4 linked regions of the Callithrix jacchus genome follow. The protein of the gene in region 3 purifies or fractionates together with the protein of the main gene of each other region. This does not show direct contact. Links are inferred from orthologs where the notes say so. Each region holds a gene or a part of one and is shown on either strand. Other genes may lie near its edges.

Evidence for each region.
Region 1: the proteins of MAPK9 (region 3) and MAPK8IP1 purify together in Homo sapiens (affinity purification with western blotting; 4 studies listed by BioGRID and IntAct, counting the BioPlex papers as one, with this or other methods). This does not show direct contact. The link is inferred for Callithrix jacchus from reciprocal best matches to the Homo sapiens genes MAPK9 and MAPK8IP1.
Region 2: the proteins of MAPK9 (region 3) and DUSP8 purify together in Homo sapiens (affinity purification with mass spectrometry; 4 studies listed by BioGRID and IntAct, with this or other methods). This does not show direct contact. The link is inferred for Callithrix jacchus from reciprocal best matches to the Homo sapiens genes MAPK9 and DUSP8.
Region 4: the proteins of MAPK9 (region 3) and DUSP16 purify together in Homo sapiens (affinity purification with mass spectrometry; 6 studies listed by BioGRID and IntAct, with this or other methods). This does not show direct contact. The link is inferred for Callithrix jacchus from reciprocal best matches to the Homo sapiens genes MAPK9 and DUSP16.

What each region holds. Positions count from the first base shown.
Region 1 is NC_133511.1:110,907,496-110,913,537, reverse strand, and holds the start of MAPK8IP1 (C-Jun-amino-terminal kinase-interacting protein 1), read right to left. Parts: upstream 3,392-6,042; 5' UTR 3,195-3,391; coding exon 3,094-3,194; intron 1-3,093. UniProt on the Homo sapiens protein: The JNK-interacting protein (JIP) group of scaffold proteins selectively mediates JNK signaling by aggregating specific components of the MAPK cascade to form a functional JNK signaling module. Required for JNK activation in response to excitotoxic stress.
Region 2 is NC_133511.1:130,332,150-130,338,116, reverse strand, and holds the start of DUSP8 (dual specificity protein phosphatase 8), read right to left. Parts: upstream 3,392-5,967; 5' UTR 3,362-3,391; coding exon 3,131-3,361; intron 1,583-3,130; coding exon 1,444-1,582; intron 1-1,443. UniProt on the Homo sapiens protein: Has phosphatase activity with synthetic phosphatase substrates and negatively regulates mitogen-activated protein kinase activity, presumably by catalysing their dephosphorylation.
Region 3 is NC_133503.1:71,381,761-71,387,034, reverse strand, and holds part of MAPK9 (mitogen-activated protein kinase 9), read right to left. Parts: intron 4,747-5,274; coding exon 4,683-4,746; intron 2,759-4,682; coding exon 2,687-2,758; intron 1,328-2,686; coding exon of another isoform or gene 1,323-1,327; coding exon 1,180-1,322; 3' UTR 1-1,179. UniProt on the Homo sapiens protein: Serine/threonine-protein kinase involved in various processes such as cell proliferation, differentiation, migration, transformation and programmed cell death.
Region 4 is NC_133510.1:10,741,438-10,747,247, reverse strand, and holds the start of DUSP16 (dual specificity protein phosphatase 16), read right to left. Parts: upstream 3,392-5,810; 5' UTR 2,828-3,391; intron 2,124-2,827; 5' UTR 1,712-2,123; intron 1-1,711. Other genes in the region: uncharacterized protein LOC144577833, read left to right, coding at 3,392-3,745, 4,228-4,338. UniProt on the Homo sapiens protein: Dual specificity protein phosphatase involved in the inactivation of MAP kinases. Dephosphorylates MAPK10 bound to ARRB2.

The DNA.
Region 1 (6,042 bases), on a different chromosome or scaffold from region 3:
GAAAATGCCACACCTGACCCCATGTGACAGGCTGCAGTCAAGACTTTGTCTCATGTACAACATGATTTAAACTATTGTATAAAATTACCTTTAGGCTGTGTGTATAAGGCATACAAGAAAAAATCAATTTTATGCTTAGACTTGGGTTCTGCCCCCAAGCTATCTCATTATGCATATGCAAATATTCCAAAATCCAAGAGAATTAGAAACCTGAAACACTTCTGCTCCAAAGCATGTCAGATAAGGCATACTCAACCTGTAATATAAAAGTATGTAAAATAAGAAGTGAAAATCCCTCGCCCCATATCATACCCAAAGGTTACTAACCACTATAACCAGGTGTAGCATTTCTATAATCAGAACAAAAATCAACACGTATTTATTTCAACCAACTACCAACAAACTAATGCTCCCCCTGCCCCTTCAGGTCCACATGCTCACCCCTCCACACCAGCACCTCCAGTACTCCAGGGCTCTTCCTTTTTGGGGTGGCTCTGACATCAGACTGCCTGCCACTTACCAGCTCTGCCACTTACGTAACCTCCCTCTGCCTCAGTTTCCTCATGCAAGTGTGGATAATAACAATGCTCTGTTGATATCGTTATTGTGAAGAGTAAATACTCTTGCACACAGGAAACTCTTAGAATGGTGCCTGGGCGAACTGAGTGCCTTCCAAATGTCAGCGCTTACCACCGTTGAGTACCTATCGTGTGCTGAGCAATGGAGATACCAAAGTTTGGGTACAGATCCCCTGTGTCTTCTGGGAGCTGACAGTGGCACTGGGGGTCAAGTTGCACACACACACATAAACACACACACACACACAGCCCTGCCTACCTGTGGCTCTCCTCAGCCCTTGAAACACTCAACACGTGTTATCTCATCTGATTCACAGGACCATCCTGAGCAGGGGCCAGCGCTGGCATCTTGGAGGCTCAGAGAGCTTAAGTGTCCAGTGTAAAGGCACACAGCTAAGAAGGCCCAGTCAGGATTCAAGCCCAGGCCAGTTGGATCCATGACACCACCAAAGAGCCACAGGAAAGCACTACCCACCCACCCAGGGTTAAGTGGAGCTGGGTCAAGCATAGTGAGAGGCGGGCCAGGAGAAAGGGCAGTGGGGGCTGCAGGAACAGCAGGGCAGGTCAGCAGGGCCTGAGACACTGACCCGTATTATTCCCACATGCTGGCCTTGTCTCTGCAGCCAGGCCACGATGTCCTGGAGGGCCGACCCACGCTTCAACCTCCTGGCCTACTGCCACCCTTGTCCCATGTGGCGAGAGCTGGCCACACACTCACTAGCTGGTATCCGTTTCCTCAGCTCCTCTCACTAAAGCATTCATGACACCTGGGGAAGCAGGTCGGGGAGGAAAAGCTGCCCTCTAGGCCGGAGGCAGGGCGGGGAGGCAGAGTGGACTGAACATGCACAGACCTGGGTCCCACTGTGGCCTCAGCCTCTTACTATTTTGGAGTCCCTAGCAAGCCACTCTGCCTTTGTTCATCTCAATCACCTTGTCTATAAAATGGGAGGACCATTACCTTCTCTCGGGTGGTTATGAGGATCAAGAGAGTGGCCTTGGGAGGACACTCTGGATAGCAGCGAGCTGTAGCAGTCTGCTAGTGTCCGGGCTGGCCCTTGCTGAACACTGACCTGCTCTGCTTTTTCTCCTTTCCAGGCAGGAATCAATATTAATCGGCCCACTTAACAGATGGCACTCAGTGGACAAAACCCTGCCTGGGTCATGCAGTTGGATAGTGGAGCTAGGATTTGAACCCAGGTCCTTATAAGCACTATGTGCTTCCACTGCAGAGAGGCCTCCAGGTGGGGAGGCAGTGTTTGCATGGAGGCCTTGTGCGCCACGCCAGGTGGAGTCTCAGACCTCAGCCTGTGAGTCGAAGGCATTATCAGAGAGCTGCAGCCCTGGAGCCTTCAGGCCTGGTCTCCTCCATCTGGCCCCCTCTGGTCCTCCCGGCTCAGCTCAGGGTCTTGGGGGAGGTTTCTGGGTTTGATGATGCCATTAGAGATCCCCAGGGGTCTCTGTCCACCTGAGGACCTGGGAGCCAGTGACCCCTTGCTCCCAGGAGGGGCTGGCGCCACAGCCCAGCTGGAGCCTGGCTGGGGTGGGGCCCCAGGAGAGGGGAAGGCGCCAGCTCTTGAGATGGGGAAACAATGGGGTATGTCTAAGCCTCCCTCTCTAGGTGGGGAGCAGTGACATCTGCCTCTTCCTCCCCACCAACTAGGGGTCAGAATTATGGGGGAGGTATATCTATTCCTCCTCCACACAGTCACCCTTCACTTCTCTGAAACACATCAGACCTAACACCAGGCTGGTGGGGGGCGGTGGGAGGGGTGGAATGGGAGCTTAGGTCAGGGTTCTGGGTATTTACTCCAGCAGGGACCCCTGACACCCCCGCTGGCCCTGGCTACTCCCTGGCCGACTTCCCTTCCCACAGCCGGGCCTAGGATTCCCCAGGTTGAGGCTGAGCCTTCAGCGCCTGCCCTGAGAGACACACCTGCCCAGGTCGGTGCTGCTCAATCCAGAGAGGGGCCTGGCCATGGCGGACATGACAGGTAGGCCCATCTGGGCAGGCAGGGGCCCAAGACGCCGTCCTCCCAGCACCAACAACAACGTTGCCCCCAGGAAACTGCGACCCGCGACCCCCCCCCCCCGCCCCTCCCCGCCCCGCCCAGGCTGTTCCCAGCCCTATTCAGAAATCTTCCGACTGGGCAAAGGCTAAGATGCAGCCCGCCTGCCCGCTCAGGGATCACAACCCGGATCCCAGACCCTGCTGCAGCCCAGCCCGGAGGTGGGAAAGAAGGCAGCCTCCGAGCCCCCTCCTCCAATTCCAGCGCAGACCTCCCGGCCTAGGACCAGGAATGGCGGAGGGAGCGGCCCCGTGAACCTGCAGCGACTACCAGTCCGAGCATGAGGCTGGCGGGGCTTCTGGGGGACTCTGTCCCGGGAAGATACCCCATCCCCACGCCGTCCTCTCGTTCCCGGGTTCCCGAGGTTCTGGGGTAGGGGGCGGCCAGGGACAGCCCAGGAGGATCAGTCCCGCTGAAGGGCGAGGCGCGCGGCGGCCGGGGACTCTCACCTGAAATTGGGAGGAGACGCGATGTGCAGCCCCAGGAACGGGGAGGCGGCGGGCGGGGACGCAGCACCCCCGCCCAGGCCGCCGCTTTCTCGCTCCGCCATTCTCGGGCACAGCCCTGGCCATCCGGGCGGAGCGCGGCGCGGAGGAGGCGACGGCGGCGAAGGAGGCGGAGGCGCGGCGAGGGGGCAGCCGCCGCCGCCGCCGCCGCCGCCGCCGCGGGGCTCGGGCTGGGCGGGCTGGGCGGGCGCACCTGTGTCTGGCAAGGCGCGGCTCCGCGCCGCGCACGGCTAGCGGGACTGGCTAGAGCGCCCGGCGCGCGCCCCTGGGCCCCGGCCGGGGTCTCGAGCGCCCCGCCCTTTCCCCGCCCCTGTCCCGACAGCCCCGCCCCCGGAGATGGCGCTCTCCGCGGTGCTGAAGCCACGGACCCGCGGCCCTGGGCTTGGCTCAGCCCCGCCCTAAATCCGACACTGACTCTCCTCTACCCCTCAAGGTCCCCAGTGGCTGGTGTGGGCTTTGTCCCTCCGGGTGAGCTTAGCGCTCGGGTATCAGATAACTAATGGCAGGACCCTGGACCCCAAGGTCCAGGTTTGGCCCCCGCAGCAGAGACCAAGAAGGTAGACGAAAAAGGAGGGTCGTGGAGGAAGGCAGAAAAAGGAGAGGATATCAGTGGGTTCTTAGAGTGTACAGGTTTGGAGTTGGGTGGTGTGAATTCTCTGGCTCCACAAGTGATTGGGCATTGGGGCCTTGCATTAGTGACTAAAGAGGACTAAGGTGTGGTCTTCTTACCTGTGAAATGGGACAATAACGGCCCCTCTCATGGTTGTGAGGATGTAACGTAACACAAATGTGTTGCTACTAAGACCTGGAAACACTCCACCTCCTGCACCGGGATCCAGGCCTCACCCCAGTCCTGTCCCTTTACCTTGAGGGGACCCTGCCAAAGACTCTCCCTAGAGGCTGCCCTCTCTAAAGATTGATGCAAGCCTCTCTTCAGCCCCTAACAGCTACTTGTGGTGAATTGAGCCCTCCAGCCTTTTCAGTCTCTCAGCACCTCCTCCTTCACCCCAGGACCTTCCCAGCATTCTCCTTCTTAGCGCCTCAACTGCATTTCCTGCAGAGCACCCCTCCTCTGCACCCACAGACTCACATTCTAAGACTTGGGGCTTTTCCCTCTGCTCCCACTGTTGACTTCTTGGGATCATTTTGGTTCTTTCTGTTCCCTCTGGCACCTCCATCCCTGCTAGGCTTTGGCCATGGTTTCTTCCTCATTGTCTCTCCCCCAAGAGGGTGTTAAGCCTGAGCTTCCAGGCCTTCAAGGCCCTGTGTTCCCTGATTGAGTCATTTCACAGAGTATGGACTAGGCCTCCAGCTTTGGTGGGTCATGGAGCCTCTGGGCAAACCTTATTGGCTTCTCTGGTCCCTCAAGAGAACCCTAGAGACCCTGTCCACACTGCAGGACAGGACAGAAAACCTGCATACTGTGCCACAAGTCGTGGAGTCCTATTTGCGTATCTGGAAGGCTGACGGGTAATGCTGGCCCCTTTCCCTCAGTGTAGCACCCAGCAAGGAGCAGAAGGCACCTTCCTTGCAGAAGGCAACCCCCCAGCTCCAGACTCAATATCCCAATACCCAAAGCCAAAGGTCGTGGCTGCTTCTCTTTTCCCTGCTCTTGGGGCCCAGAGGGGTGGCCACTATTCTTAGCTTTTTGTGCTCAGACCCCTTCCCTGGGCCCTCACATTAACCATCTGCTGCCATGGTGCCTGGGCTTTCCTCCCAGGAAAGCAGTCTTGCCATCATGGCTACTAATTGTTCCTTAAAATGTGGACTAGTCTCAGCTAGGGAACATCCTCAGGAGGTTGTCCTCAGCAGCAGTGTATGCACATGACAACTCCCTCTTCCAGAATCTTTTGCTCAAGAGTAAAGGTATCTTAGCTCCAAAGGCCAAACCAAAGCTATAGTAAGAGAGAGCCAGGAGAAGGGCAAGAGGGACACAGGCCCAGGTCTTGGTAGGAAGGAGGCCAGCAGGAGCTTCAGAGCAGCGCCAAGAATGAGAGAAGTCCCCAAGGCAGGTTCCTCCCCTTTCTTCCTTTCTCACTCTGTACAGGCCAGACTGTGATATTCTTGGGCCTTGCCTCAACCCCTCCCTACAGGAAGTTGGGGTATGAGCTCATAAAGCTCTCAGTTCAAGGCTAGCACCCCTAGCATGGAAGCAGGCCATGCTGCACCGAGAGGGGCCATTCTTTGGCTAGGTGGGCAGGAGACAAAGCCAGAATCCAGGCCCTAGGCTTGGCTGTGGGCAGATCTCAACTACCTAGTCCCAGCCAGAGAGCCTGCATCCCCTCCTCACCACGGGCTGCAAGCTTAAGTGGCTGCATTGAATTAAAGGATGGATTGAGGACCTGGAGCAGGCCCTGCACTAACTGACCCGCAGCCTGGAGTTTTAAGTAGGCTGCGAGGCTGGGTGGCACTGCAGGATGACACTCAGGACCCTCACTCTGAGCCCAGAGTGTTCGGTACTGTTCTGGCCAATTGACCCCCAACTCTTGACCAAGCTCTGGACCAACTTTTGACCAAGCTTTCCTCGTCTGCAATGGTTGCTTCCTTTCCTAAGGAGAAACAGGAGGCTCCTGACTCCCACAGAACCAAGACGGGTTGGCCAATAGCTTCATTCGGGCTCAGCCTTATCAAAACTCCAGTTCCCAGACCTCCCACAAGAATGACCACAGCACAACCTTACTCGGACAGGTCAGACATTTATAAAACAAGTGAATATTCACAAACTGTGGGAGAAACACACCTTCCCAGCAATACAAAATCTCTATAAAGTGCATTTGCCCTGCAACCATCTCTTCCCCGTGCTGGCCCTTGGGTCAGGATTTGGGGCATTGTTTCGAGGGAGCCCTCAGGGCCACCTGAGCTGGGAGAAGGGAGGCATGAAGCCACCGTGGA
Region 2 (5,967 bases), on a different chromosome or scaffold from region 3:
GTGCATGAGTGTGTATGTATGTGTGTAAGTGTATGAGTGTGTATATGTAAGAGTGTATATGAGTATCTGTGTGTATGTGTATGAGTGTGTATCTGTATGTGTGTGTGGGTATCTGTGTATGTGTATGAGTGTGTATGTGTAAGAGTGTATATGAGTGTGTGTATGTGTATGAGTGTGTATCTGTGTGTGTGTATCTGTGTAAGTGTATGAGTGTGTATGTGTAAGAGTGTATATGAGTATCTGTATGTGTATACGTGTGTATCTGTGTATGTGTAGAGTGTGTATCTGTGTGTATCTGTGTATGAGTGTGTATCTGTATGTGTGTATGTGTATCTGTGTATGAGTGTGTATCTGCGTATGTGTATGAGTATGTATCTGTATATGTGTATATGAGTGTGTCTCTGTGTGTATGTATGAGTGTGTATCTGTGTATGAGTGTGTATCTGTATGTGTGTATGTGTATCTGTGTATGAGTGTGTATCTGCGTATGTGTATCTGTGTATGTGTGTGTATCTGTGTATGAGTGTGTATCTGTATGTGTATCTGTGTATGTGTGTATGAGTGTGTATCTGCGTATGTGTATGAGTGTGTATCTGTATATGTGTATGAGTGTGTCTCTGTGTGTGAGTATGTATGAGTGTGTATCTAGATGTGTATATGAGTGTGTCTCTGTGTGTGTGTATGTGTATCTGTATATGTGTATGAGTGTGTCTCTGTGTGTATGTATGTGTATCTAGATGTGTATGAGTGTGTCTCTGTGTGTGAGTATGTATGAGTGTGTATCTGTATATGTGTATATGAGTGTGTCTCTGTGTGTATGTATGAGTGTGTATCTGTATATGTGTATATGAGTGTGTCTCTGTGTGTGTATGTGTATCTAGATGTGTATATGAGTGTGTCTGTGTGTGAGTATGTATGAGTGTGTATCTAGATGTGTATATGAGTGTGCGGTGGGGTAGCTTCCCTGCCTCCAGAGCTTGAAGCTGGCTGCCCAGGCTGCTTTCGGGCCTCAGGGATCCCTGGGCTCTCTGCTGGGACCCAGGCAGCAGCCTTGATGCCGGACAGCCCGCAGTCAGCTGGGCTTTCAGGGTGGGGAGACTTCCTCACCACCCCATGGCTCCAGCTGAATTTCCAGAGGGTGGGGCCTCTGCCTCGGCTTCTGTCAGGCACTCTGGGAAGGGGAGCAGGGTCCCACACCTGCAGGCCTCACCCCACACCTCCGGAGCGGAGCTGTACTTTGGGGTTTCCTTCTGTGTTGAGGATAAACTCACATTGGTGGATCCTGAAGCGTGGGGGTCCCAGGGAGAGGATGGCAGGGCCTCGAGAACCACAGATATATGGAGGTTTCCCCTGTGCACAGCAGACGCTGGCCTCTCTGACGCCCCAGCCCCAGCGCCTGCTGACAGACCAAGTGCCTTGGGGAGGCGTGGGTCCCAGACTCACCTGTGAGGATGGCCACACTGTCGAAACAGCCATCCAGCTTGCTCAGCAGGATGGAGAGGAAGCTGTCTGCTGCCAGCACGCTGGCGTCCCGCGTGCTCTGGTCATAAACCACCACGTCCTGCGGCTCTGATGCCTCCACCTGGGGGCCATGGGGCAGAGGTCAGCATGCCACCCCCACCTATTGATGCCCGGCCCTGTCCCAGCCACACTGGCCCAAGGGAACAGTGAGGTCGTCGGACGATGGGAGGTGAAAGCTGTCACCCTGCTGCCTGGGGGGAGAGCCGGTGCAGTGACACACCTCACACACTGTCCTCCACCTGCCAGGTGCCAGGTGCATACACCCACGCCACACAGCAGCCATGGGGGCGGGGGGGGGGGGCGGCGGGCTCCTGCCTGCACATGGGAAAAGGGGACAAATGCTCTGGCCAGGCCTGTGTCGAGGAGACACAGGTGAGTGCGATGGGAACTCAGGATAGGAACTGGCTGGCTCCTGGGGTGGTGCAGGGAAAGGGAGGCTCGGCCCATTTCAGGGATTCTAGAGGCAGTGCCTTCAGGTGTGGGCTCTCAGTGGGGCTAACTCTGGAGCCAGCAATTCTGCTCTCCACCCTCTTCCCTCCTCAACCCCCGTCGGAGAAACAGAGGACTTCGGCAGGACCGAAGGCCCCTGCACCAGTTCCGGAGGCAGCAGCTAGAAGCTGGGCTCCTCCCGTCCTCCTCCCCTGCCCCAAGGGCCAGCCCAGATGTTGAGCGGCTTTTGCTCACACTGCACCGGTGCCCCCGCCCAGCCCGGCGAGCACACTCAGCCCTTAAGCCAGCTGAGCCGCCAACCCCAGGCTGGGTGACGTCACCGGCAGCCAATGGGATTGCACCCTGCCGGGAGTCCTCACTGGGGGTCATTAATCACTGGATTCCCCTTGTTGGAAGCCAAAGGGAGCCAATTCTGGCCTTGGAGCAGGCAGATTCCTGGCCAGTGGCCATCTCACTTGCGTCCTCCAATGCCCCAGCTCCGAACAGGGCATATCAGTGACCCAGACCCCTCTCAAAGCCTCCACGATTGATAGCTTGTCACCCTCGTCCCCCTGTGAGGCAGTCGGAGGAGGAGCTACCTTCACAAGTCAACAGCCCGGCTGGTCCCACCCCAGCTGCACCTGATAGTCCTGAGGCGGAACGAGCTGTCCTTCCCCAGAAGGACGTTCCTGGGGGGTCACAGAGAGAATTCTGGGTCCCTGAATACTCGGGGTTAGGGGGAGCTGTGGGATGGGGACATGCTGCTCACGTGTGCCTTTTGACCGCCCCTCCTGTCCTCACAGCAGTCGGAGTGGATGACACAGCTGTGTCTGGGCTGCTCCCACCCCTGTGTTCACACCTGGCTATCCCGTTCACTGCTCCTCTCTATGAGCCTGGGCCAGTCCCAGCCACATAGTCCCTACCGTGTGGGGAGGGCCAGCACCTCCATGCAGGTGCTGAGTGAGGAGGACTTTGGGGAAGGGTGGGGAGGGCCCTGAGCAGGGACAGCAGGCATCGGCAAAATGCAAGTGCCAGAGGGGACTGCCCCACACGCTCCTGGCTGTGACCCCAAGGAGCCCAGATTGGGCTGGAGGGCAGAGGAGGGAGGCTGCCCAAGCTGAGGACTCCTTGGCCGTGGGCTCTGGAGGTGGCACAGGCCAGCGGGCGGAGCGCTGGGTACCTGGCTGCGTGTGGCCGGCTGGATGAGCTCTGCGATGGTCACCTTGCCCTGCTGCAGCCGCCGCTTCACCAGCTTGGAGCAGCAGATGTTGACGGAGCTCAGCACGTGCCAGCTGTTGTATTCCACGAAGGAACGGCTGTCGATGACCAGTGGTCCCCCAGGCCCGCCCCGCAGCAGGCTGGCCAGCTTCTTGGCATCCATCACCTTCCTTGGGAGCCGGTCCCCGGCCATGGTGGGGCAGTGGGTGGTGGGGAGGGTGACCCCTGAAGTGAGGAGGGGCTGCTCCGATGGCCCAGGGTGTGGCCTCCCGCTGGGAGTGACCTAGCACATGGTGCCGGACCTGCAGGGACAGGGGGATGGTCAGCCGCATTGCAGGCCCCTTCGTGGCACCCAGAAGCTCCCAGGACCGGCCAGAGCTGGGACCCCAGCCCGCCAGGACATCTGAGCCCAAAATGTGCCTGCGGAGACCCTCCTCCCTCCAGAGAGACCCTGTCCAGGTCACAAGGCCACCTCTCAGCAGGACGCAGCAAGGCAGTGGGGGGCAAATGAGCCCACAGCATTGGACTGGGCCGGCCGGCAGGACAAGGCCAGGGGTCCTTCCTTTGGGCCCTGGAGTTCATGGACACTTATGCATTCCAGAACATTCCATCTCATCCCTGGGATGCAGGCGTCTCCCTGCTCTGACCTCTGCATCTTCCCCACCACAGGACCCCCAGCAAGTCAGGGGTCCAGACGGCACCTCACCCTCCCTCTTGGCGAAGCCCTCTGCCCTCCTCCAGGCTCGCTGTCCCCACACCTGTCCCTCCCTCTGTTGGCACAGCCCTGGGGAGTCCAATCCCCAGAGCCTGGACTGCAGGGTGGCGCTGTAAGCCGATAATCCAGCCCCTGGCGGATGGCGGCCTGGGGGCTGTCTCTGCCCGAGAGTGGGCTCCCAGGGCAGCCGGATGGCAGGCAGGGTGTGGGAGAGGCTCGGGCACAGAGGCACGGCTCCTTTGCCACGGCTGCCCTCCTGGCCTGCAGGCTGAGGCTTAGTGCGTGCCATGTGCCTGCTGGGGGTGAGTGCCTGGCTCCTGCAGGGGTGTGTCATACCCACAGAGTGCCCCTCCTTCAGCAGAGCCTGGGGTCTGGGGGGCCCCTTCAGGGGCTGCTGGAGCCCAGGATGGGGGGCAGCCCCAGTATCAGAGACCCGAAGGTGCCAGGCCCTTGGCATGGCCTGCAAAGCCCTCAGACTGAAGGGCGGGCAGGCGGAGGAGGCGTGTCTGGGGATGGGGTCTCTAGAAGCCCCTCCTGCAGGCTTGGTGACAAGTCTCTGTCACTGCCCCACTTCGGGGTCCATCTCCCGGTCACCTGCCAGGACTACCCTTCCTCTGGGTCCACTTTAGACTCACAGTCCCCAGGAGGCACGTGGATTAAGGATGATGAGTTTGCTTTAACTATGGGGAAACTGAGGCTTAGGACAGGGGTGGAACCCACTCTAACCTACACAGATGGGCACTGGGTGTCTCTGCAAGGCCACCAGTGGGCAGAGGGGGCTCCGGTGGGGAGAGGGGGCTCTGGTGGGCAGAGGGCTCTCAGCAAGCCAGGCACCCAACCACAGCCACAGGGGGCACTGGGGGAGGTGCCCTGAGGATACCCATCACTGCAAATGGGCTGGGGACAGTGGCCACCACCGTTTCTGTACTCTCTGGGTCAGTTCCCAGGCTGGTGGGCCGGGGGCTGACAGGAAAGTTCACGGAGCAGCAGGTGCAAGGCCGGTGTGTACCGTGTCCCTGGTCCAACTCGAATCCAGCCTGAGGGGCAGGTCCCAGCCCCTCCCTGCCCAGGAGCCCCAGCCTCGAACTCACTCTCCTCCAGACACTTCACACTCGGCTCCCGTCAGGCCCCTCCCACCTTTCCCAGGCCCAGGCATCTGTGTGTTCCCACCACCCCTGCTGCCACCAGAGCCCAGGGAAACACCTGCCTCAGCTGACCCCACGGCTGACACCTGGGCCTGTGGTGGCACCTGGTCAGCGGGGCCTCGGGAACCCACTCCGACGACGCTCCCCTCCTGTGCTCCAGCCTCCACCACAGGGCACCCTCCCCGGGCCACACCTGCGGCCTCTTCAGAGTTCTGCCCAAACCTTGAGCAGGTGGTAACACGCAAGGGCCCAGATGTGTAGTCCTGGGGAGACAGTGGCTCCAGGTGCCCTGTATGACACCCAAGGGCCCAGCTCAGAGGTCTAGGACCCCGAGATGGCCGTGGGGGCAGAGACACTTGGGGGTCCTTCTAGGAGCATCCCTGGCCTCAATGTCCTCATCCGTTAAGTGAGGGTGGATTCTCTCTCACTGAAAACAACAGAAGTGAATACCCCTCCCCCCACCGCCGATCTCCCCCCCACCCCACCCCCACCATGCAGGGAGGAGAGGCCCTTGCCCTCCCTGCAGCCAGGGCCTGGCCATCATATAGCCTTGAGTCTTGACACCGCCAGGAGGTAGAGAGGGGCCCCAACACCACAGACAGCCAGGCCTGAGCCCCAGAGGGAGTGGAGGGAGGAGGCAAGTCCGGTGGGCAGGGGCTGGAGGTGCGGGATGGGTCTGGCCTTTACCTGGGCCCGCCCTGCCTCCCAAGTAACTGCGAGCTGGAGCTGGGCCTATCACTGGCAACGGTATTGTTATTTGCAGCCGAAGGGGACTCATTAGCAAGTTAGCACCTCCATCGTCGCCATGGCAACCGCTGCTCCTGCAGCAGCCGCCACCGTGGAGCAGGCTCCTCTGCAGAGTGGGCATGTGCCCCTCCCTTCGCTCCCACCCACCCCAGCAGGTGCCTGGCAGTCCAGAGCCCAGTGGAGTGGGTTCCC
Region 3 (5,274 bases):
TTTCCCAGAACATTCATGGATTTCCCTTAGGAAAAGGAATGCCCCCAAACAATGGAAAACAACTATAGCAAATAGGCGTCTGAATCTGCCTGGCATCTGAAAACAGACCAAAGAGGAATTTATCTGCTTCTTCCAATGAAGAAAGAAAATCAAGAACGTGGTATTGGCAGAGGGAAACTGAATGAGGAAAGGTAAGTAAAGGCGAAGGAAGCACTTAGGATATGACTGCAGTGATCTCTAGTGACCATTTTGTAAAATTCTACTTCAACGTTAGGCCATGAATGCAGAAATCTATCTGCCATCATATTACTGAGATGGAGAATTATGTGCCTAATACAGAAGGTGAAGTTCTAGGTAGCATTTTAAATTCATATTAAGTCTAAAAGACTAAGAGGAAAAGAGATAAGGTAGCTAGGATTTCAAGCAGCACTAAGCAAAACTTAAAATTTTATCATGCAGTAAAGCTGAATATACAACCATCCCAGACAAGACAATTTAGAGAAAACAAGGTGTCCACATAAGTGTCTTGGTTTTAGCTGTGATAATTCTCAGCCCAAACATCACAAATATAGGAAAAGCTATATATTTTATTTATTAAATAGATTTAATTATATGTCTTCTGAAATACAAAAGAGAATAAATCATAACATAAAAGGGAGTAAGATATAATAACATCATGATGGACGATTAATAAACATAAATCAACTTTTTCTGGACAGACACCAAATTACTTAAGAGGATTAAGAGATAACTTCAGAAGCAGCACTACCTGGAAAATTATTTGGCATTTAAATACTGATTTCCAAAGTGCTAGATGGGCAAGTCCAAGCAAGCATTTGTGGTAACATGCACATATATCTCAACAGTTACAGATGATGAGAAACTGTCACTACTATTACCATACAACTCTAAACAAATTCACCTATTCTAACTGCTCACCTGAAATGATCTTGAACAAAATCTCTAGAAATGTGGCTTGCACTTTTTTTCTTCAGACATATTCTGCCTCATTTTATAATCTAAGCAGGCAATCCTATTAGATCTGAGTAGGGCAAGGCATTGTGTTTCTTACATGCAGAACATGGAGTTTTTCTGTTTGGTTCCATCAACTCCCAAGCATTTCAGGCCCATGGAGGTGAGAGTTCCTTCAGTGATGACAGGTTTACTATTTCTAACTTATCATCGACAACCTTCAAGGGGTCCCGTCGAGGCATCGAGACTGCTGTCTGTGTCTGAGGCCAGTGTCTGCTCAGTGGACATGGATGAAATGTCATTGATAGATGAAGACTGAGAAGGAGTGGCGTTGCTACTTACTGCTGCATCTGTGCTAAGAAAACCAAATATAATAAAATCTGAGGCACGACATTGCTGCAAATCCAGGCAACGAGACTTCAGGCCATTTCTTGGCTCTGTCCTTTTGCAGTTTCCCAATCCTAACTATGAGTATAAACAAGAGGTTACTTGGCTGGACTTTATAAGCTTTTCCTTGAGTCTTTCTTTGGGCCCAGAATCCCATATTTCTATGTCTTTCCTTGCAAGATTCTTGTTTTCTTCTCGGTGGCTAAACATGTGTTCATGTATAATCATGTTACCTACTTAAAAAAATGCCTGCTTCTTTCAAGTAGACATCAAAAGGAAACAGCTATATTTATCTGAAAATGCAGTATCACAAAAGGCTTAAGCCTGAATAGGATTCAAGTGTCACTAGATACTTGAATTTATAACATAAACACTAAATCTACAGAAAAAAAAGCACCAATATTCAAAGAAATCTTTTGCAATAAACAGACTGCATACTTGAAAAAGGAAAAAAATTAGTGGCTTCATATTTTTTATTGTTTTATAACTCCAGAAAACTGATATTTTAATATTTTAAAGCAAATGAAACTATCCTACTTCCTACTATCAATGTTTTAGTCTGTTTTGAATAAAAATACAACATGCAGACTCTCTGAGATCGACGTCTACAGTCTTAAATTTGTGCTTAATTAACAAGCACTTAAGTTCTTACTGAAGTTATGTAATCTCTAGATGCTTGACACATACATCATGCTGAATATAATAACATTCAAGAATACAAAGTAAGCTGTGCTCTCTGCACATCTTCACACCTGTGTGTGCATGCTTTCCAGTGGGAGTGGGAGTGAGACAATAAATATAACTTGAGCGTTTCATTTAGTAAACAGGTAGAACCCTGCAGACGTAAGTGAATACCACTAATATCAGAGTCTCTCATTATCATACAACTACCCAGGCATTAGGATTCTACAACTGTATATCAGTAGATGAAGCAGAAAAATGGGAGAATGATATGAACAATTTTCTCAAAAGAAAATCATATTCCATTTTATCTAGATTGGCATTTTGGGTGGGACCAGTACACAGAGGGTTATCAACACTGAAAAAGCTTTTCTTTCAATTTCTTCATCTGTAAATGAAGCTGACCGCAGTTATTGCAAAGATGAAAGAGGAATGTTTATAACAAAGTTCAGTGCCTGACATTATCAGTAAAACGTCATCCACCACCACCACCACCACCACAACAAGCCAAAAAGGGTAGCTATTCATAAGTGGTTTTTAAATCTGATGCTAGCCAGGCTGGCATTTCACATGTTGCTGCCATTTATAAAAGTTGAACTGAGAAAGAAAAATATCATACAATCAAACTATTAAAGCAATCACTAACCTGAAGTCTGATCTTTTACAACACCATTCTTGCTTCTTTCTTCCCAATCCATGACTTCTTTGTAAATTAGCTCTTTAATAAAAATACAAGTTAAAATGCTTACTCAGTTTCTAAACAGTTTCATTGCATCTCTAAACTCTGCTTCCAAATCAACTGGAACCACTCCAAGGGCACCATGATATGTTATTTTTAATTGTAAGACAGAGTCAATTCAGTAATATAGTCTACCTGGACCAAAATATTCACTAAAAAGTTTTTTTTTTTTTTTTTTGAGATGGAGACTTGCTCTGTCGCCCAGGCTGGAGTGCAGTGGCATGATCTCAGCTCACTGTAACTTCCAGCTCCCGGGTTCAAGTAATTCTCCTGCCTCAGCCTCCCTCAGCCTCCCGAGTAGCTGGGAATACAGGCAAGTGTCACTATGCCCAGCTAATTTTTGTATTTTTAGTAGAGACGGGGGTTCACCATGTTGGTCAGGCTGGTCTTGAACTCCTAACCTCGTGATCCGCCTGCCTCAGCCTCCCAAAGTGCTGGGATTACAGGCGTGAGTTGCTGTGGCCCATCCTATATTATATTCATGTTTGATACATTGTATGTTTTCTTTTCTTTTTTTTTTTTTTTTTTTTGAGACAGAGTCTCATGTAGTCATCTAGGCTGGAGTGAAGTGGCACGGTCTTGGCTCACTGCAACCTCTACCTCTTAGATTCAAATGATTCTCATGCTTCAGTCATTCAAGTAGCTGGGATTACAGGTGTGCACCATCATGCCTGGCTAATTTTTGTAGTTTTTGCAAAGATGGGGTTTTGCCATGTTGGCCAGGCTTGTCTTGAATTCCTGGCCTCAAGTTATCTGCATTGGCCTACCAAAGTGCTGGGATTACAGGCGTGAGCCACTGTGCTCCGACTACATTACATTTTTTCAATGACTAGTAAGGTAGCAAAACATGGAGGGAGGTTCTGGATCCATAACAGGGTTTTATGAAGTGGAGTGGCTCCCACAGAACACTATAAGGGATTGGACATTCTCACACCCATGTTTGTCTCTGGTTACTCAGGGTTCTCCAGAGGTAATCAGCAGCCACATGTGGGCTAGGAGCCCCCCACACTGGCTGAAAATGAATCCACATGTTCTAAGTCTTTTCTTAGTTTCAACTTCAGTTTTCCTCAAATTTCATTTGTAAGAAAAACTAATTACCTACTAAGTAAGTTATTAGGGATTCCTAAAATTTCAGCATTCATGAACTAACATCAGCACATTGCAAGCATTTACTGAGACCAATGAGCATGCTGTGTGTATGTCTTGCTAAGCATGGGCACACAGGTAACTGGCACTCCCACATCCCAGGACGGCCCTGGGTCAGGACCCATCATCAGTGTTGACTCACTCTAACTGTGGTTCTCAGTTACTACTGATCCTGCTTTTTAATGAAAAATTGTTAGTTCAACCTCTTCATTACATGTATAGTTTGTTGTGGGTTGTTTGGTTAATATTACAGTGGTAATAATACCTACCTGTACATTTTCAATCTGCAATTTCCCCCAAACTGGATTTTAAAACATATATACAACTACATGGCTTAAAAGAACAAGCAGAAGTTCACATGACCCCCAGCCCTGGCTCCCCATTTCTGCATATACTGGGAATTCTATAGGTAACATGCAGCCAATGAATTGGTCTCACCTGACAATTTGCAACATGTTATCAATATATGTGTGATACAATTACCAAGCTCCATTTACAAACTAATATGTGAAAAACCATGAAAAAAATATTTTTTCCTCTTGAAACATATGATAAGAAATTCATACATGTGCCTCTCTTAATTCTGTTCTCTTCAAGTTCTTTTTCTACTGGAAACTGGAAGAAAGAGGCTAAGTGGACTGCAGGGTGTTTTTTTTTTTCCCCCTTCCTGAAGAGAAATGTTACAAAATGTAAAGTTTCTGCTTTATAGGATTGGAAGAAATGTCACAAGGAAGAACAAAACAAGCTCTGTCTTTACCTTTCCATTCTTCAATTGCATGTTCTCTTTCTTCCAGCTGGGCATCATAAATTTGAGGTGGTGGCTAAAAATTAAATCATATGCAAAGTCAACAGTAATGCCTCAAAAAACAATGAGGCATTAAAAAAGGTAGAATCACTTGGAAGACTTCTAGTCTATTTATGATATGAATTTAATGTAATTCAACACATGGTTTAATAAAGATTTCTGTCATGTGATATCAGCTTTTAGAATCAAAATAGTTACGATAAACTTAACCAAAAAAGAGTTACTATGTTCCTCTTAATAATCACCTGACCTCAAAACACAGACATCTGCCCAGATGTCATTAGAAACAGCACAGGCTGTTTCCTAGAGACCCATGATGGACAAGGCACTGGGCTGGCAGCTATGGAATATCCTGTTGTTTCTTAGAACAAGTTTTACATTTTCTTCATGGGAGAACTCCCAAACTCAATGTCCAACTCATAAATGGACTGTTACAAAAGTCTGCTTATAAATTGGATTATTTCTCTATAAAACAATGTTTAAAGTGATGGTAAGATCACTGGTCATGACATAAACATGTATTTCACTAATGGCCTGAAGGAAG
Region 4 (5,810 bases), on a different chromosome or scaffold from region 3:
AATGGTTTTTCCTGCGAAATCTTTTTAACTAGTTCCTTTCCTCTGTTGAAATCTGTCATAAAATCTGTTTTGTGTCCTCTAAGTTATCTGCTTGTTTTCTTGGGATTCTGATCCAAATCAGTTCACCTGTATTAATTTACTTCTTCAAACTAAAGTACCATTTGCTTGAGAACTCAACGCATTTTAAAAAACACCGAATGTTCAGTGAAATTTTTAGTTCAGGTAACACAAGGTAGAAAACTATTTCTGTCTAGGAAAACTTGGGAGTTCTAGGATAAATTATTAGCAAATTGTATTTAGTAGAATTTTAGGATTAGCTGAAAATTGAAAAAAAAATTTAATACTGGAGAGCTATATAAGTCTGCTTCATGACTATATTAATCCCACATGCTAAAAACTGTATGAAATTAAATTCCCAATACAGGTATTTACAGAAAACAGCATCAAAACAAACTCACACATAAATCCTGCCTCTTCTCCTGACCCCAACCTAAACTTTGCAACCTTCACACATACCTACTCTCCTCCCCCCCATCTCAGCCTCACTTCCACTCTCAACTATCCCACAAATACTTTTTAAATGTATAGGAAAACGTAAAAGAACTGGAGTAACAGGATCTCCTCTTTTGCTGCCTCCTCAGTTACTGCCATTAAGCTTTTGGTCCAAGAGACTCTAACCCCCAATTTTACATGACTATTTTTATTTCATAGGTACTCACATTCACCAAACTGAACCAAAGAACAAGAACATTCTAAATGAAAAAGGAACAAAACTGGATAATTCTGCAGTTCTGTCCCTAGCCCCCTCCATAATCAGGCACTATGTGAAACACCTAAGTAAAATAAGTATAATTTTCAGACAAATGAGATATTTTACTTTGAGTTGCTGATACAGCGGAGGTTAATACTAAGAAAAATTAATTACCACAGTTTACACTTTTTATATCTGAATGTACATTTATAGTACCTGAACCAAGTTATTTTCAATACAATATTCACCGTATTAACAGAATTCAAAATAAGCTCCTTTCTAATTTTCCTCCATGTAGACTTTTGCTAAGTGCAAAAATTATTTTACCTAAAATCCACCTCTTGGGCTGATGTTATTTAGCCCATATTTTTACATAAGATGGTAAATGTTAGGAAAATTTAAAAAACAATTTAATGCAACTTTCCACCTTGTCTTCAAACTCAGTAAATTCCACAATTTTAAAAAACAACCTTTCGCGGTGCCTACTCACATTTTTACTAAAATCTCTACACAAAGCCATACATTCTGTTTTTCATTTTACTTCTCCAAGCTGCTGCCCTTCACCAAATAGACTCCACGAGCCTCCCAAGTGGTATCCACCAATACATGCGTTTCTCAAGGAGAAGTAATTAAAGAGTAATTAGTCCAATTGGTACGAAATCTTTTAAAAATTTACCTTAACTTTAACAAGCCCTTTTCTTGATGGAGATTTAACAGCATAAATCCTAATGAAACGGTTGTCCTTTACGTGGACTCTCCATCAGCCCCATCAGGTGAGTGGCATAGAGAGGCATTTTTCTGATAGTCTCAGTTCCCCAAACCCTAGTCATAAGCTTTTGCTCGGATGGTAAATTTCTTTCTCTCTCTCTCTCTCTCTCTCTCTCTCTCTCTCTCTCTCTCTCTCTCAGACACACACACACACACACACACACGCGGAAAAGAAGGAAGAGAGAAACATACCTGGTTATTTTCTAAACAGGTTTGATAGGTCTGGTTCACTTGTAAGAGCAGAGTGTTTACTTATAATCTTTTAAAACAGAAGTGGCAGCCAGGGCACTGGGTAAATAAAAACTTCACCGAGTTTTAAAACCCTGCATCTTAACTCACTTCCCTTTGGTTCAAGGGGACGGCACAGCAAACCCCACGGCAAATGAGATTATGCAACAGGTTTTTTTCCTCCACACCTTACTCATCACAGGCTGGTTAGAGGTGTGCTTTCTCCAATCTGAGACACACGACTTCAAAACGCCAAGAATCCTTGCAGTTGATGTTCCCTGAACTTCTTTAGGATGTTGCGGTGTCCATTCATTTTCAGATCCACTGTATTTCCTCTGGTTCACTACCGGTATTCTTTAGGAAACAGACCCAGCATCTGAAAATATTTCCCTCTGTGGTGTTTCATTACGCGAAAGTACACGTGATACACAGACCCTGGGCTTTTTTATTTCTCACGTTTTGCAGCTAGTGTAAATAAAGAAGTCACTAGGCGTCGGGCCCCCCAACGCCAAGACTCATCCCCTGTCGGAAAATTAAGGGCTTTTTTGGTTGGTTGATTACAGAAAGCAGCACCGTCACCACCCAGGTGGCCTCGCTGCTTACACCAAAGGCGAACTGGGGATAATGGGAACAGTCAGGCCGGGGCCCCACTTGGCAGGCGTGTTGTGTAACAGTCGCGCCTGGAAGTGAACAGCTTCGCCCGCGAAGGTGCCGCGTCCCGCGGCGGCCGCGCCTCTCGGAGGGGCCCGGTCCGAGCCCGCTCGCCGCGCAACAGCCGGGGGCGCACCCACTGCGACCCCGCGCCGGCCGCACGCCCCCTTCCCGCTCGGGCCCGCCGCGGGCCAGGCCTACACCCCAGCTTCAAACGCTCCTGCGGCCCCCGGCCGTGGTCGCCCCCTCGCCGCTCCCGAAAGGGTGGTCGGTACGCCGGGGAAGGCAGAGCCGGCGGGGCAAGAGCACGGCGCCCGGGGCCGGGAATCGGGACGCGCCGCGGAGCGTCCATGCGGCCGGGCGGGAGGGCGCCCCGGGCCCCGCACCCTCCCGCCTGCACACCCCGCGCGGCCCGCCGAGGCCACTTACTTTTGGGGCCGCCGACCTCCCAGTTCCCTCAGAGGGAAACGAAAGTTGTCACGGCGTCTCCCCTCGGGCCCCTCTCGCCTCCCGGGCTTGAGAGGCGCCGCCGCGGAGCCGAGAGGGCGGCTGCGCTCCAGCTCGCGTCCCGTCCCGTCGCTCTCCTCCTCGTCCTCTTTTCACTATATTATCTTCTCCTTCTCTGAGGGGCGGGTGGGGGCGGGAGGCTCAGGAAGAGAGGAGACGCTCGCAACTTTTCTTCACTCTTTCTCTTCCACAGTCCCCCCAGCCAGCCTTCAAAAAAAATGTCGAAAGGGATGAAGAACTTAGGGAGGTAAAGGTGGGGGGCCGCGTGGTGAAAGCGGGGGTTGGGGGGAGTGAGGGGTGGCAATAATCGTTTAAAAAACTGATTAAAGTCCCCCAAACAGTGATACATAGAAAGAGGGGGAAAGGCTGGGGGGGGTGGGGGGTTGGGGGAAAGAGAAAGAGCCGCTGGTCAGGAAACTTCAAGCGCGGATGAGGTCATTGGTTTAAAAATAAAGAGATGGCGTCACTTGAAACCAATCCCAGTGAATGAACTCAGCGGAGCCCCGGGGAAAGGAGGAGACAGGCGAGGGCAGGGCGGTGGGCGCCGGGCGGGGCCGCGCGCCCGCCTGCCCGCCCATCCCGCGGACGCCGGAGCCCCGAGCGCGACTCCGCGCCTCGTTCCGGCCGCTTGGGGAGGGGTCAGGTCATGTTCCCTTCCAGTGTCCGGCGACTCTGAGGCAGGTTCCGCGGGCGCCGCTGGGAGGAGCCGGAGCTGCCGGAGGAGGCGGCCCCGAGGCCTCTTCCCCCTCCTCTCCCTCCTCCTCCTCCTCCTCCTTCCGGGCCCGCGCCCCCGCCGCCCCCCGGGCCAGGGTGTCCGCCTCCAGCGCTGCGCTGCAGCAGGTATCGGAGGGTTTTCCCCGCACCCAGACGCAGACCCTTTCCCTCCTTCTTGAGCTGTTTCCAGCTGCCTCACCAACGTCAAAAAACGCAAACACTGATTTGAGAGAATTTCAGTCGCTCTCTTAAAAGTCTGAGGAATGCAAAAGACAAAGTTCTGCCGTTTCTCAGTAGAGAAGTTACAGGTATTTCAAGAAAAATCACACTGCCGTTGACAGGCTTTCAGCCATCTCTATGTTTGTGGTTGAAAACCCCCGCGTAAATATTCCTAAATTACTTTACTTTGCCTGTATTTGCAAAGAGGAGGATAAGGAGCCTAGATTCTCTTTGAAAATGTTTTCTACAGGAGGCAGCGCAGAAACGTCTTTAAATCAGACCAGGGGTTCACTGCCTTTTGAGAGGTACAAAACCCTTGTTGATTTGACTCCACATACCTCTTGCATTTTATTATTTGAATTCATTAAAATTGCTTTTTTTTTTTTTAGATGACATTATGCACTTTGGAAAACGAGAGACCTGAGGTGGTGACAAACGAGGACTTGGAATTACTGAATAGGACAATGGGAGCTTTATTTCAATGTTCTTTGAGCATTTAAGCATGAAGCTGCTTCTAGTGAGAAGTGCTCACGTGGATATCACATAACAAAGATGTGATTAATGACGGAAAAGCACCCTGCGAGTGGACTGCTCCATGAGCCAGAATTTATGTGTTGGAATAATCTAACTCCTAAAAGACTCCGTTTGCGATGTGCCTGATTGGGACACTGGCCCCTAAAGACACTGTTGTGGGATATCCATATGCACCCTGCCTAAAGCACTTTGTTTTCATTGGCAAAAGAACTGAGAAGCGGGTTTGGGTGGGTTAGAAAGATAATACACCCCTTTTGCTACTTTTCTGCCTTTAAATCCTGCAACTGAAGGGCATTCCTTATGACTGGTAATCATTGAAGGTTAGTGTTGCCGGGTAAGGCTCCGGCTTTTATAGGAGGGAGGAAAGTCCATTTGAAGATGGGAGGCATTGCCAGCACCTCTGGCGGTAGGTAAAGCCCGAAGGCCACAGTGCAGAAGCAACTCTGAGCCGGTGCCTCTGGCCTCCTGAAGACTTCTGCTAGGGAAAGCAAATCTCTCCCACTGCTTCCTGTCCTCTGGTGGCCAGGAGGTGTTACTGCAGCTTCCTTGGGATTATTTGTGCTCTACCAGGAAACCCCTAAAAATCTAACTGTAGACCTTTGTTGGAGGTGTTGGGATTTTTAGGAAGGAAGGAGAAGATAGTCCTTTTACTAGTGGTACAGAGCATGGATCTTGCCTGGAGAAAAGATTCATGAGAATTCATGATATCCCCTTTGCATGCCATAGTTCCAGTAACCTTGCTTTAACTGACATGGCTTGAAATCTTTCTCCCCTTTCATCCTCATTACAATTAAATTTGTGTAATGTATGCATGTGGTGCCATCATAGCTATCATGGAAGCCTCTCGGGGTATTTCATCTATTTCTGGAAAAAAGACATAGATTAAAGTTAATTAAAAGCCAAAGCACTGATTGAGTGATGTACAATATTGGTTAAAAGAGTCGGGGGAGAAAAGGAGCGATGCACCCTGCCTAAAGCACTTTTTTTTCATTGGCAAAAGAACTGAGAAACGGGTTTGGGTGGGATTATCGGGGAAGGCACCTTATGAAGAGTTTTGACCTTATCCTTGAAGGATAGTTAAGATTCAGTTTGCAGTGAAGAAGCCGGTGGAGGGACGATTCCAGAGGGCAAATGGCAATGAGCCAAGACATGGAGGTGGAATGAATAATGAGTAAGGTGTACTCAGGTGAGAGAAGAGCAAACCCTTCCAGTAGCAGTAGAGCGCAGTGGCTCACGTCTGTAATCCCAGCACTTTGAGAGTTTGAGACGGGCAGATCACCTGAGTTCCAGATTTGAGACCAGCCTGACCAGCATGGTGAAACCCTGTCTCTACTAAAAATACAAAATTAGCGGGTCATGGGAGCACACATCTGTAATCCCAGCTGCTAGGGTGACTGAGGCAGGAGAAACACTTGAACCCGGGAGGTGAAGGTTGTGG